2 linked regions of the Oreochromis niloticus genome follow. The protein of the gene in region 2 interacts with the protein of the main gene of each other region in a pairwise test. Links are inferred from orthologs where the notes say so. Each region holds a gene or a part of one and is shown on either strand. Other genes may lie near its edges.

Region 1 (7,837 bases), on a different chromosome or scaffold from region 2:
CCTTGGAATCATTTGTCCGCCTGTTGATCCCACTTCTTGTCCTCGCACTACAATCAGCTGATTTCAGCTTGGATGTCAGAGGAGGAAATAGTGACCATGTGTGTCGAAATGTATTTTTTATTGCACAAAAGAACAAGATGAATGTAAATGTAAATAACAGGACAGAAACAACCACAGTGCTGCTAACACAACCTCAGTTCTTTACAAGCATCTGCACTGACAGCATGCTAACGCTAAGCTAGCCAAGCGTTAAAGCTGAGCGTGTGCAGACTCCAGACCAGCAGCCAGAGCCTGAACCTCCACAGGTAACAAACTGACGATTCTACCTGTTCCTGTTTCTACAGTAGAATCACCATGGCAACCATTTTTTGTGTGTCTTCATCTTTGATTTGTGCGGTCAGCTTTGTGTTAAGAGAGATGTTAGAGGTGTGTGTCCTCATTAGGGATGTGTTGGTGCCTCAGGTTTATGTTTAAACAGTGATTATGAGACAGTGAGCTGCAGCTGCTTTACAGAGTAACATGAAAGTAATGTAACGACTAGTATAACTAGTTACCTTTTTCCAGGAGTAACTAAGTACTGCATTACTTTTACACCACGTTCCAAATTATTAAGAAAATTGTATTTAAGTGTCACAAAGATTAAATATGTTGTTTTTCAATCAAACTCATGTGTCTCAGAGCTGTTTGGATCACTGACATCAGCCTCAGACTGTGATCATTAGTTTTACAACTACTAAAGAAGCATGCGCCACATTATTAAGCACACCACCATTATCAAGCAACACGGGAAAGAAAAAGGATCTCTGCTGAAAAGTGTGAAACAGTTGAATGCCTTGGACACATAATGAAAACCTTTCACGTAAACGTAAGCGCGATCATCGTACTGCTCACAGACCTGTGGCTGAGTCACAGCATACTGACAAAACTCTCCAGGTCCATGGATGTAATCAAATAAGGGGTCCTGTGTTATTATGGAACTCGACCTGTTAATGTTTTTGATTGAAATAGTTTTGATTTCAGTAAATTTGATCTCCTAATGCTGCAAATTCAACAAATAATCACTTTCAGTTCTTTACAACCAATTACATGTTTGGAAGCTCTGTTGGCTTTTTAAGTTTGTTAGTTTAGAAAAACACGGTTTTCATTGGGAGGTTTGTTCAGTAACATCTGAACTCTGAGGGTCGATGACTCAGACGTTATGCTGACCGTCATCTGAATTGAATATTTAGTAAAATCAGAGAAAAACATCATAATCATAGTAACGTGTAACATGGTGCACGTGTTGTGTGTAACATGTGTCGACCACAGTGAAGAGAACAAACACACAAACATTTGACCCACAGCATGTAATTAATATGCATCAGAGTGACGTTTTTATTGTTGCTTAGCGATGAGCTGACTCATCAATGACAATCGATGAACATCTGAATCAATTAGAGATACCAATAATAGAATCTGAATGGCTAAAATCTTATCAGTTCCCATAGCTACACACACACACACACACACACACACACACTCGGCCTGTGATGTAATCGAGTACCTGTCCACCACCTGCTGCGCCGACACGTCCAGCCTGGTCTCCAGGTACATCCTCACCTTTGGATCCTGGAAGCAAACACTGAGGTCATTCTCCTCCGTCACAGGAGAGCAAAGCATTGTGGGTCGGTGTGTGTCATGTGATGAGTGTGTGGCGTGAGGTACACCTTCGGGTAGCTTCCTCTGTCCTCGCCGCCTTCGTTACCTTCTTGGCGTCTCGCGGCAGCAGCAGCTCCAGCGTCGCCACACTCGTCTCCCTGAACGTTTGGTTTCCTTTGCCTCGCTTCACCGCCTGAGCTCGGATCGACTCCAGAGCGCCCCCTACCTCCGACACGGGCAGGCCTAGCAGGGGGGCGTAGTGCCCCGCCAGCTCCTGATGGAAGAAGAACAGCACTGAGCGCGCTCAGAACTGAATCCAACGACACTGTACATGGGCTGAACTTTGTAATGCTGAGACAAAAACCTCAGTGATGCTTGAATCTCAGTGAAACAGAATCAGTCAGTCCTGTTCTCTCATGTATCCTCATGTGTTTCCTCTATAATCAGTTTCACTGGTTTAGTAAGTTGTTTAACTGAGGTTTCCTCTGACAGGAAAAACTGAACTCTTTAATGATGGTTTTATTTCTTTGTTTTAGCAGATTTATTATTTTATTGGATTCATGTGAATGATTAATTTCTTAAACAGCGTCACAAAGTAACCTTTATAGACCTGACTGAACTTTATATCCTCATACTTTGATCTCAGTAGGAAGGTGTGTATGGCCACGCCTCCTCAGGCGGGTCACCCACCTGCATGTGCGGCCGCCCCGGCTGCTGGTCCTGCTCGGTGTACGGCGGGTTCCACAGCTGGATCTTCTCCTGCTTCAGGAGGTTCTTCAGCTTGGCCTCCAAGTTCTGCTCCGCCATCGTCTCTGAGAGGATACAAGATAAAAACTGTGGCTTCAGCATCTCAGGTCCACGAAGACCTTTTTAAAACGCCTGGACCAGCTCAGAGGACAGCAGCTGCTCACATCTGGAAGCATTTCAGTGAAGCTCCGCCCCCTGATGGTAGCAGGTGATCACTACAGGAAGTGCAGCTGTAATAATCTGTTTCCTGACTTTGAGTTAAAGCTGAGGTTAGTCATCATAAATCACTCACTCCTGTCACACAGAGTTCCAGCTGCATGATGGGAAATGTAGGCTCCACACAGCAGCCTCGTTGTATAAAGTCAAACTAAAGTTCAGAGGTCAAACTAAAGTTCAGAGGTCTCGGTTACTTCAGCACAAACCTGTGGTGTGTCTTCAGCTGCTCCAAACTCTGCTCCCGGCTGATTTACGACACAACAGCCTCAAACACGACACTTAATCAGAGAAATGACGCCACCGGGCTGACATCAGCAGCTAACAGCTCCAGGTGAGCACAGCTGCTCTGACAGGTAGCTCACTGTCACAGGACCCGACGGCGACCAGCTGCTCGGTCTGAGAGCCGGTAAAACTCCGGTAAAGCTCCGCGGCGGCAGCTGCCTGCTGTTGTTTACGTGAATCAGGCTTTTCTGGGAAGGAAACGACACTCTGCGCATGCTCCAGGATCAGCTGATCGCAACAACGACGTCTGCCGAACACAGGCCGACGCTCCAGGCCACGTCACAGCAGACACGAGTCTTCACGAATATAGACGATCTTCGATCCTGCCCTACGGTTGCCCACGAGGGTCAAAACGAAAAACGCTACCTTAATGACACAAAGGGAAATGTGTTAAAAATGTAAATACTAAAGTACAGCAAAAAAAATATTGTTTGAAATGTATTGAAAATAAAATAAATAAGCAAATGATAAAAAAGAAAACCAAAAAATATAACAGTGAGTGATACAACATGTTAAAAAAAAGGCAAAAAAACAATTAAAAATAAGGTAAGATCTATTTTTAAAGTTAAGACAACCCAGCAGGATCAAATTCAATCATAAATAATAAAAAACAATTTAAAAGAGTATAAGTAAGAACATTAATAGAGCCAAATCCAAAATCTGTGGTTATACATTTATTCCAAACACAATCTCTGTGTTTGTTTTTTCAATTTGTATTCTACATCCTATCAACAACAACATCATACTACCACAAACAATAATAAACTATGTTCCCTTTTGTAGACAACAGTGATGTTATGTCTGCCTTTGCTGCAGTTACGGAGGTTTCCAGCAGAGGTCGCTGTGGTTCTAACTGGGCTATGTGTGCTTCCTGTTACCTGTGTACGAACGTTTATGTTGGCTGCTAATAAACACCTGTCATACAGTTACAGCGGACTGGTTATTATAAGCAAACCTACACCTTTGACCTTAATACATAGTAAACACGCTATTATTTCCACAGTAACTGAATCAGAACACGTGAAGCCACACTGAAATGTATTTTTTTATTTGTATAACACTTATTTCTTTTCTTTGTTTACATGATTGACATAACTTGAACACAAACACAAAGAGAGGATAGCTCAGTAGGTGGAGCATTCGCCCCATGATCGGAAGGTCGGGGGTTCAAATCCACCAAATGGCTCCCCTGAGGTACCCCAGAGCAAGGTACCATCCATACACACTGCTCCCTGGGCGCTGCGTTGGTGGCTGCCCACTGCTTCAATACAATACAACTTTATTTGTATAGCACATTTAAAACCAGCGGTACACCAAAGTGCTTTACAGTAATACCGTAATTTAGAGAAAGGAAACATTAACAGGGAATAAATACACCAACAGGGGGAGAGCACTAATTAGTAAAAGAAAATACAAACACAGCTCGACTAGGAGATTATTCAGCAATAAAATACAATAGAATGATTAAACATACATAAAAGAACATTTGAAGGATACAAACACTAACTAGGGAAGGCTAGTTTGAATAAAAAGGTTTTCAACCGAGATTTAAAAGGTTGAACTGATTCAGACGCACGAATAGCAGTAGGAGGACTATTCCAGAGTTTGGGTGCAGCTATGGCAAAAGTATGCTCACCTCTGGTCTTCAACCCTAGCAGCTGGCCCGTTGATCTCAGTGCTCTATGAGAAGTTCAACAAGATAACTGGGAGCAATGTTATTTATAATATTATAGGTAAGCAATAGTATTTTAAAATCAATATGGTATTTGATGGGTAGCCAATAGGGATGGGTATTGATAAGATTTTCACGATTCTGATTCCATTTTCGATTCTGTTTAACGATTCGATTCTTTATCGATTCTTTTTTAAAAAGGAGAACACTAAGGTCGATTAGCTTAGAACTTTGTTTTATATCTTCTCTTTGAACAAGATAGAAATTTAGGAGTAACATGGCCTTACAAACCCAACAGTGAGATCTTAAGAGATCCACAGCCTACGGCTCTTCAATGGGGTGTCACAGGGTCCCCGGGAAAAAAAATTGTAAATGTAAAATAATAAAATAAATATTCTTCTGTAGCAATAACAAAGTATAACATAAATTATTCTGTAGCAATTACACAAGAATATCCAGTAATGTCCCTGCCTACAATTAAACACATTCACTTACCGGAAATCGGGGGCATCTGCTGTGGCAAATGGGTGCAAGCCTTTGACCACAAACTTAGTCACTGCTCGGTGACATTCGTCTATCCTGGCCTGAAAGGAGACGCTACCGGTAGACTGCAGCGAGAACTGCCAGCCAGACTCTGTCTCTCTCATCATGGTCACCTAAATGCACAGTAATGGCAGGTTTTGTAATATGGCAGATCGCGCTAACATAATATGCACTGTTAGCTGATTATTTACCTGCCGCATTAACGGGAGAGGACGTGCAAACGTTACCGCTGCTGCTGGGTTGAGATTCACGAGTCCGGAGCGGAATTAAAACCACGACATTCATTTAAGGTCATCGCGTGTTTTGTGAGCAAATGCTTTTGCATCTTCGTAGTGTTTCCTCCTTTAAATGAAATATCTACTTTGCAAGTATTGCAAGTTGCCCTGTTGTCATCCGTTCTTGTAAAGTATGACCAAACTTTTTAGCGTTTGAGCTGCTTAGGCGCCCTGCCAGGTAAATGATGCTCCGCAACGTGGTGACGTCATTCGGGGTGACTGGAATCGATAAGGGAATCGTTTGCAAAAATGGCAAACAATTCCAAGGAATTGAAACAGTGGGAACCGGTTCTCAACAAGAACCGGGTTCGATACCCATCCCTAGTAGCCAATGCAGGTCAGCAAGGATAGGGGTGATAAAAACCTGTTCCAGCTAAGAGGCGTGCTGCTGCATTTTGAACAAGCTGCAGTCTGCGGAGAAGGGTAGATTGGAGGCCAGTCTCGAGGCGATACAGGCATAGATACGTTTCTCAAGGTCCTTGCAGGGCATGTAAGGCTTGGCCTTGGCAATTTGGCGTAATTGGTAAAACCTAGATTTAACTACAGTGGAGACTTGTTTATCAAGTTTAAAAGAACTGTCCAAGAGAACACCCAGGTCGCTTACAGTGTCAGAAAGAAAGGTAGCAAACAGCCCAAGTGAAACTGTTAGTTGGCCCCCAGGAATATGGCTGTCGAAAACAACAATTTCAGTTTTCTTTTCATTTAAAATGAGTGAGTTACTCAATAACCAATCCTTAACCCCTTTTCAGTCACCTTTCTCACTCACTATGTGTTAATAGACCTCTCTGCACTGAATCATATCTGTTATTAATCTCTGTCTCTCTTCCACAGCATGTCTTTATCCTGTCTTCCTTCTCTCACCCCAACCAATCACAGCAGATGGCCCCGCCCCTCCCTGAGCCTGGTTCTGTCGGAGGTTTCTTCCTGTTAAAAGGGAGTTTTTCCTTCCCACTGTCGCCAAAGTGCTTGCTCATAGGGGGTCATATGATTGTTGGGTTTTTCTCTGTATTTATTATTGTGCTATCTACTGTACAATATAAAGCGCCTTGAGGTGACTGTTGTTGTGATTTGGTGCTGTATGACTAAAATGGAATTGAACTCAATTAACTTCTCTCATACAATCAAAAACACAGTTTAGTGATGATCCTCAGTCAGATGAAAGTAAATTTGAATATCATCTGCGTAACAATGGCAGGAAATTTTATATTTTTCAAAGATGCGACCTAGAGGTAACAAATACAAAGAGGACAACATAGGGCCTAACACAGACCCTTGGGGCACACCACAGGAAAAGGGGGCAACAGAGGAAGAGTAACTTCCCATCGTAACAGCGAAGGACCTTTCAGAAAGGTACGATTTAAACCAACTAAGAGCATTACCCTCAATGCCTACCATGTGCTCTAGCCTCATCAAAAGCATGTTGTGGTCCACTAAATCAAACACTGAGGACAAATCCAAAAAAACTAAAACTGCTGAGCGCCCTGAATCAGTGATTAAAAGGAGATCATTGAAAACTCTCAACAATGCCGTTTCCGTACTATGATGTGATTTGAACCCAGACTGGAATTTATCAGTGATGATATTCGCATCTAGATGGGCCTGTAGTTGCAAAAGGACTATTTTCTCTAGAATTTTAGCCAAGAAAGGGAGTTTGGAAATCGGCCTATAGTTTGCAGGGTCATTTTGGACAAGGCTACTTTTTTTAAGAGCAGGTTGTACTACCGCATGTTTAAAAGTGGTCGGACACCACCCAAAAGCAATGATAAGTTCATAAGGATAGGATGATAGGCCCAATTACATTAAAACCCTCCTTGATGATGCGAGATGGGAGGATGTCATGTACAGAGTTTGAATTTTTCAGATGCTCAATTATCCCCTTCAGGGCAGAGAGTGACACCGGCTCAAACCGCTGGAAGGATGAGGTGCATCCCGAAGCAGAAACCTGATTAAACACAGGAGAAAGTGGAACTGTAAGAAAACACATTTTTTCTGTAAAGTGGTTTAAAAAGTGTTTGCAGAGAGTCGGGGAAGCCTCTCAGAACATCAGAGCCAGGATTAACCACTGAGTGAATGGGTTACATGCATAATTTACCCACAGGGGATTAATAAAGTATACACAAAAAACAAAGAGGAAGATCGCACCGGAAGATAAAAACTTTAAGTCTTAAGGTAAAAACTACAAGTCCCAGCATCCTCTGTGTTTAGGGAGGAGCAGTGAAAGTGAAAGTATTGAACCTCCGTTCAGAGCCAGTGTTGCCAACTTAGCGACTTTGTCGCTATATTTAGCGAGTTTTCAGACCCCCTAGCGACTTTTTTTCTATAAAAAGTCGCTAAAAAAAGACGTGAAAGCGCGTATCGCTTTTACTCTCAACAAGCAGCGGGTGCTGTAACGCAGTCAGTTCTTCTTTTAATCTTTTACTCTTATGCTGTTTTGTGGATCACAAGGTTTAAAACTACTTATAAA
Region 2 (7,575 bases):
CCATGGATGTGTCCTTAAACAGACTTGGGTGTATTTTCCTCAGATGTCTCCTGTTCCGCCTGAGCACCTCACCCTCTGGTGTTTGCACAGCGTAGGAGCGTGGTTCCTCTCGCCGATGTGCTACAACAGCTGGCTCCCAACCGCGCCGTGTTTGCATGTGCACAGTATCGCCTGAGGTCAAAACAGGCAATGGTCTTGCATGCTGATCAAAGTGGTATTTCCGCTTTGACTGCAGTCCACGCACCTTATCTGGAATGTTCTGTGGGGTTGACTGTCTCAACACAGCACTGGCGCATGGCAGTGTGCTGCGGAGAACCCGTCCCATCAACATTTGTGCAGGTGACACACTCAGTCCTGTGACTGGAGTGTTCCTCAGAGATAACAGCACTAGATGTGGATCTGTTCCAGTTCGCGCCGCTTTTTTAAGTGCATGTTTAACAGTCTTTATGGCTCGCTCCGCCATTCCATTTGAAGAAGGAAAGCCGGGACTGGAGAAAGTTAGCTTTATCTCCCAGGATGCTGCAAACGATCTCATCTCGTAGCTGGCAAATGGAACATGATCGCTCACTATCTCTTTGGGAATTCCGTGTCTTGCGAAGACTGATTTCATCTTCTGAATCACAGAGTGTGCCGTTTTGTCAGGTAAGTTAAGAACTTCTGGGTATTTGGATAAATAATCAACTAACAAAAGATATGGCTGACCGTTCAGTTCGAAGATGTCCGCTCCGATTTTCATCCATGGCAGCTCTGGAATCTGATGTGGAATAAGCGGCTCAGCCTGGTTCTGTGGCTGCATTTGCTGGCATTGTTCACACTTCTCAAGCATAGTCTCTATGTCGTGCGACATGCCCGGCCAGTACAGTACTCTTCTTGCTCTGGCTTTTGTGCGCTGTACACCTTGGTGAGCGAAATGCAACTTCTCCAGGATCACTTGTCTGAAGCTTTGGGGTATTACAATCTTGTCCCCTATCATAATAATGTCATCGTGGATACTGATGTTGTTTCTCATAGGCCAGTAGCTGTGGAGTGTTCTGTCTAAACTCTTCCTTCTGGCTGGCCATCCGTTGAGGTGCCTTTCACGCACAGCTTGTAGCACGCTATCTGCTGCAACTGCCGTTCTCAGGCTGCTCAGTGTTTTTTCACTCAACGCTGCTGTGGCCTCCAGAGCATACACAACTCTTTCTTCATTTGTGTCTTCACTCACATTCTCGTTGTCACTAGTGGTTGTGGCTCGTGAAAGTGCATCGGCTATGAACATGTCTTTGCCGGGGGTGTATGTGACGGTGAGATCATATCTCTGCAATTGCAGCAGCATTCCTTGTAACCTTGCTGGTGCCTTGCATAGCGGCTTACGCATTATCGCCTCCAGGGGTTTATGATCAGACTGCACGGTTACTGGTCTTCCATAGACATACTGGTGGAATCGTTTAGCGGCAAACACAATGGCTAGCAGCTCCTTTTCTATTTGTGCATACCTTTTTTCTGTGTCTGTGAGTGCTCGTGACGCATAGCACACAGGTTGCCCTTCTTGTAATAGGCATGCGCCCAGCCCATCTTTTGAAGAATCGGCCTGCAATGTTAAGGGTTTCTTGTGGTCATAAAATCTCAACACTGGTGCTTGTGTGAGCGTCGCCTTGAGCATCTGTAGCGCTGCTGTGTGGTGCGGCTGCCAGTGCCACGCTGTGTCCTTTTTGAGTAGCTGTCTTAAAGGTGCTGTGAGTGATGCTTCATTTTGAATGTACTGTGCCAAAAACTTCGTCATTCCCAGCAGACGCTGAAGACTTTGTTTGTCTTCCGGAGTCGGCATGTCAACAATAGCTTTGATCTTTGAAGCATCTGCTTTCTGCCCAGCTGCTGTGATGATATGGCCCATGTATTTCACCGTGTCGACTTTGAACTGAATTTTGTCCTTGTTAAACTTCACGTTAGCTGTTCTTGCTTTCTCCATGACCTTCTGCAGGATCTCATCGTGTTCGTGCTCTGATGTAGCTGCAATGATCATATCATCTGCAATGATAAATACACCAGGAATGCTGCCGAAAGTCTCGCAATTCTTTTGTTGAAAAACCTCGCTGGCGGATTTGATCCCGAATGGGAGCCGGAGGAAGCGATACCGGCCCCAAGGTGTATTAAAGGTACACAGCTTCGATGACGGCTCGTCCAGCTTGATCTGCCAGTATCCGTCTTTTTCATCCAATATGGTGAAGATGGATTTTCCTGCTAGCTTGCTTCGAACGTCCTCGTGTGTGGGAATGGAGTAGTGCTGGCGTTTAACTGCTTGGTTCAGATCACAAGGGTCCAAACACACCCTTAGTGTTCCGTTCTTCTTCTGTGTGGCGACAAGACTGTTGACCCAATCTGTGGGCTCATTGACAGGCGTTATGACATCTCTGTTCTGTAAGTCCTGTAGCGTCTGCTTCAGCGGGTCCATTATGGAGAGGGGCACGTTCCTGCATGCATGAATCACAGGTGTTGCGTTTGCGTCAGTGTGTATGTGATGGACTCCAGGGAACTCACCCAAGCCTGTGAACACATCAGCATACATCTCCACAAGCTCTTCCTTGGTAGAAGGTGGTTTGGCTGGTTTCGGTACAGCGGATGGTAAGGCAAGGGCTTCAACTCGCTTCACCAGATGCAGCTCCTCACAAGCTCGCCCACCTAGGATCGGTTTATCTGCATGGTCCGACACAAGAAAATCAAACACAGCCCTGTGCTTCCTTGCTTCACACTCAAGAGACACCACACCATCTACATGTATGCGGGCCCCACCAAAAGCTATGAGTGCCGTCTTCGTGGGCTGTAACCGAGGCATCCCTGGTAACTTGTTGTAAACTGATCTGGGGAGCACATTTGCGTCCGCGCCTGTGTCTAGCTTGAAGGTGACTGATGCGTCCCCGATTGTTACACTTTCGTGCCACCTTCCAGTTTGGTGCTTGTCACTGCACACCATACCTATGTACAGTGAGTCCCCATCAGTCTCAATGTTATTAATAGTCTTTGTTTTCTTGTAATTTCTACTTTTCTCTGCGCCCACTCTGCATACTTTTGAAAAATGGTTATTTTTCCCACACCTGTGGCATGTTGCCCCATAAGCTGGACACTGTCGGGGCGCGTGTTTGTTGCCGCATTTGTAACAAGCCGTTTGCTTGTCGTTGCTCGGTTTGTTTTTACTGTGTCCTGATTTAATGTATCCTGGCGTTTTCCTTAATGCATGTACTGACGTGTCTTGGGGTGCAGTTGTTGACTGCATAGCCTGAATCTGTGACTTGGCCACCTCTGCTGATCTGCATATTTCTATCGTCTTGCGCAGTGTGAGGTCGTTGTCACGAAGTAGTCTCTCTTTTAGTCTGGTATCATTTATGCTGAACACCAACTTGTCCCTGATCATGTCATCTTCATTGACCCCAAACTCGCAACTTTTACTTTTCTGACGGAGTTCTGTGACATATCTGTCCACTGTTACACCTGCTGACATTGGGTATGACCAGAATGTATGGCGCTCAAAAACAACGTTCTTTTGTGGACTACAGTATTCCTTAAACGCTTTCAGAATGTCCTCCATAGCTAGCGCGTCTCCGGCCGGGGTTACAGTGAGTGTGTTATACACTTCAAGTGCCTCCTCGCCGATAGTGTGGAGAAGAATGGCTGTTTTAACCTTTTCATCTTTCTCCAGCGCACCCGTAGCAGTCATATACAGTCTGAATCTTTGTTCCCACCTGCGCCAGGTCTCAGATAAATTGCCGGTGAGCAGTAGCGGCGATGGTGGCTTGAATTGCTCCATGCCGTTAGCACCGTCCACCGTTAGCTAATCCACAGCTAGCTTACTCACGTCGCGGTCGGTCCCTGCTCACACGGTCCTGCCAACTTCTGACACCATGTTATGACTTTAAGCAGCGTTGCTCCAACTGCCAGTTTAACATGAGTTGCGACCAAGGCCAACTTTGATAAAGCACAGAGGACTGAGACGAGGCAATGGTGGAGGTCTGGTCTTTTTTACTACGAACACTCTTCAATCACATACAATACCACAGTGCCACCTGCGGGTGGGAGGTAGTAATAACTGCTGCTTATTACAATATACCACAGTGAATAAGCTACCCCGCTGCACAACAGTACGAGTAAAAGAAAACACAAACACGATTTATTTATTTATTTATTTATTTTTGCTTTATTTAGCCTGAAAATCCAAAAGAAAGTGAAGTTTTTCTTTTCTCCACACTACGTGGTCCTGGGAAATTTCCTCAGAGTGAGCGCTCATCCTGTTTCCGGCGCTTTGTGCTGCCCATATGTCAAAGTCTTTGTGCTTTTCAAGACAGAGAGGCGACAGAAGGGAAAAAAACAGCTGGATCCAACGACCATCCAGCTAGCGTTACCACTAGCAGCAACCAGCTCCTCAAGCCTGCTAACCCCCCTCGGCTGCCTGACTTCCAAAAGGTACCGTGTCTGAAAACTGTCCGTTAACCGAGAGCTAACGGCTCCTTATTCCGACCGCCTTATCTTTTACCTGAGCTTTCTCTTTGACCCAATTTTCCAACTGCCAGCCTGGCTAGCCTGTTAGCTTCCACATTAGCTTCTTTAGATGCTGATTAGCTAGCTAGCTTAGCTGATTAGCCTCCTGCTGCTTGAGCAGGTATCAGAGGATTAAACAAGCTGTCAGCAAGAATCATAGGAGCACACTCGCCTCCCATCCTTTGTTGTCATCTATAAAGCAGAAAGCATAGGGCTCTGTTGGCGTCTTTAAGTCTGCTTCATACTAACTGTCCTTTTAAATACATTTTACTTTTATCTGCTTTTAAAGTGTTACCATACTACATGTACTTTTTTCATTTAAAGTATGCAAGTAGTGCTTTCTGATTGGATTAATTGTTGTCTAGTGCGAAGTATTCCTTTTGGGTATAGAAGAAAATGAAGCAGGAATCACATAAACACTGATCTCAGATGTTAATTTGACTTTTGTCTCATTTTTGTCTTTGCAACATAAATTCTATAATGATACTCAACAAAACAAAAACCTCACGGTAGTGATGTTTCGCTAATTACATGCACATCTTGAGTTAATCTGTATTTCAAATGAATCTTTCTCGATATTTGCATATTTTAAAGCTTTTGTGTTTAATTGCAACCAGCTGATTTCATTGATCTGATTACGTATTTAATGCTGTTTCTGTACAACGTGAAATACAGCTGCTGAGCAGAAGTCTTGGTTTGTTACACTTAAAGTGTGAAGACAATCTTCTTTTCTGAGGTGTTGAAATCTGCAGATTTTTGATAGATTTACTCAGTTTTTACTGGAAAAAATAGCTGTTATCTATCAGACTGCTTCCAGCTAATATTAAGGCCAGAATAGGTAAAGTAACCACCTGTCAAATCAAACATACGAGGCTACTTGTCGTGGAAACCTCTTGTGAATAAGTGAGCACTTGAAAGTAGCATTTATTTCTCTGGTGCAAACACTGGTTGAGGAGCTGAATGGCTCCTGTAACCAGAAAGTCCCACAGCAGTCCCAGCGGAGCACTGGTTAAACACCAAAGTGTTCCTAGCTTGACGAAATGTGCGTTTTGAGGGTGAGCTGGTACGGAGAGATAACTCCCTTTACTGTAGGAGGTTTTCTGAGAGGCATCCTGGTCACATGTCCAAACCATTTCAACTGGCTCCTTCCACAGACTCTAGGTCAGACTCTAAATGGCTTGTTTAAGCAGCTTGTTTGAGTGAGAGAAGATGAACTGGATGCCCTGATAAAGATAAATAATGAACCATGAATGATGCCCAGTCCAAGAATAAAAATAGGGTGCTGATATTAGCTGTTCCTCCTTAATTGGGTAATCTATCATCTATTTTTTATTTTCTACTGCTCATCGTCTCCCCAGGTAGCATCCATTTAGTCAGCTGTGTCATGGGACTTATTGTTATATGCTGTGGCTATCATTGCACTTTCTTTTGTCAGTGTGGGTTTTCGACTGCATGGACTTACTTTGGATATTATGATTGTAATCCAGGTTTTGAATGTCGTTCTGTATGCTGTCATTTAAATTTAACTTGGTGAGCTCTGAAGAAACTCCGTGTCTCGATTCTGTCTGATTTACAGCTTTATCTTGCAACCTGTGTTTGGCAGGGCTCAGCTGACAGCGGCGCTTGAACCCAACAACCTCACGATGAGTTCAGGGTTTTAGAGGTGCTGTGTGCATTCCCCGCTCCCAGTGGTCGTTAGATCACTGCTTCCATTTCTATTTTTACACTAGTTCAACAAACAAGTCAGAACATGTAAATAAGGGAGACTTTGAGATGATGGAAGGTGGATTTTAGTTTCACTGATTTCCATGGGAAATGCGAAGTAGCATGCAGTAAATTTCTAATTACACTTTGAGGAAAGAATAATCTCCCATCCTTGTTTCTTGTCTTTCGTCCAAAACAACGCTTCATCTCTGATTATTTTTGTGTCTTGCTGCCTGGAAGGATTTGGACTCGTCAGCTGTTCACATAAACAGAGTGAGCAGACGTTGTCCTCCTTCCTTTTCTTTTCTTTAAAAGTTCTATGTTATTTTTGATGTCGGGTTTCGAAGCCTAAACTGTTGTTATCAAGGATATGCAGGCTCGACTCTTTCTCAAAGCTGCAATCAGAGGTTTTTTTATTTTGACCCGTTGACTCCCACGCAGTCTGAAAACAGCTCCAGTCTTACACGGACGCACCACAGTGTGTTGCTTTCTGAACATCTTGGACTTCCATGACTGGACGTTTGTTCTTCTCAAAACATAAAGAAATCTCTAAGCGTAGTCTTAATGTGTGGCCAAAGAAACAGACACATTTCTATTATTGCCTTGAAAATGACCATATGAATTTTAAATTACTTCTTGCTATATTTTTCTCTGAAAGCAATGTACAAGGAAAAAAATGTTAGTAATCAAAGATGAGAAAGTTCGGTGGTAGAGTAGGGGTTAAAGCTTCTTTAAGGCGAGGCATGGCACAGCGGCACACAGTAACTTATTATATATGTGAGAAAATTGACGATTTTTCAGTTTGGTTCTAAATGTAGATAGTTGTAAATGATCTCACATCAACAGGCACCATGATCCCGAAAGAAAGAGCCAAAGAAATGAACTGTTCCCTCAGAACATCTGGATCTTATTGTAGGTACACCACCTGATGACGTGAGAGGTCTCACAGTCTGACTCCACTGTAGCCATGGTGTTATTTTAGGTTCTTGTGATCCTCTCATGACTAATTCTTCCATCACTGATTAAGCTGCAGATTTCTTGCAAATAATGGGGATAACGGGCAATCAGTTTTTTTAATTTTCATTTTTTATTTCTAATTTGTGTGTGTAGATATTTTTTAACATCAGCACAAATTTAGTCTACAAAGAAATTTTGCCGCTTTTTTTGACAGCCACCTTTGTAACAATTTGGGAGTTATTGTAGCTGTTGTTTTGAAGCCTCTTTCTAAATGTGCATACATTTCATTGGTCTTGTGTGTATAAAATTCCACCTATAGCCAAATAAGACCGTTAAATAAACAAACACAAAAAATGTTGACTTAGTTTGAGAATGAGGTAAAGAAAAATAACTACCCGTCCCAGT

What was found. The genes of interacting proteins can lie anywhere in the genome.
Region 1: the proteins of sncaip (region 2) and nub1 interact in a two-hybrid assay, tested with the Homo sapiens proteins (2 studies listed by BioGRID). The link is inferred for Oreochromis niloticus from reciprocal best matches to the Homo sapiens genes SNCAIP and NUB1.

What each region holds. Positions count from the first base shown.
Region 1 is NC_031974.2:3,696,995-3,704,831, forward strand, and holds the start of nub1 (NEDD8 ultimate buster 1), read right to left. Parts: upstream 3,103-7,837; 5' UTR 2,808-3,102; intron 2,451-2,807; 5' UTR 2,446-2,450; coding exon 2,329-2,445; intron 1,913-2,328; coding exon 1,745-1,912; intron 1,609-1,744; coding exon 1,544-1,608; intron 1-1,543. UniProt on the Homo sapiens protein: Specific down-regulator of the NEDD8 conjugation system. Recruits NEDD8, UBD, and their conjugates to the proteasome for degradation. Isoform 1 promotes the degradation of NEDD8 more efficiently than isoform 2.
Region 2 is NC_031977.2:31,800,318-31,807,892, forward strand, and holds the start of sncaip (synphilin-1), read left to right. Parts: upstream 1-4,243; 5' UTR 4,244-4,434; intron 4,435-7,575. UniProt on the Homo sapiens protein: Isoform 2 inhibits the ubiquitin ligase activity of SIAH1 and inhibits proteasomal degradation of target proteins. Isoform 2 inhibits autoubiquitination and proteasomal degradation of SIAH1, and thereby increases cellular levels of SIAH.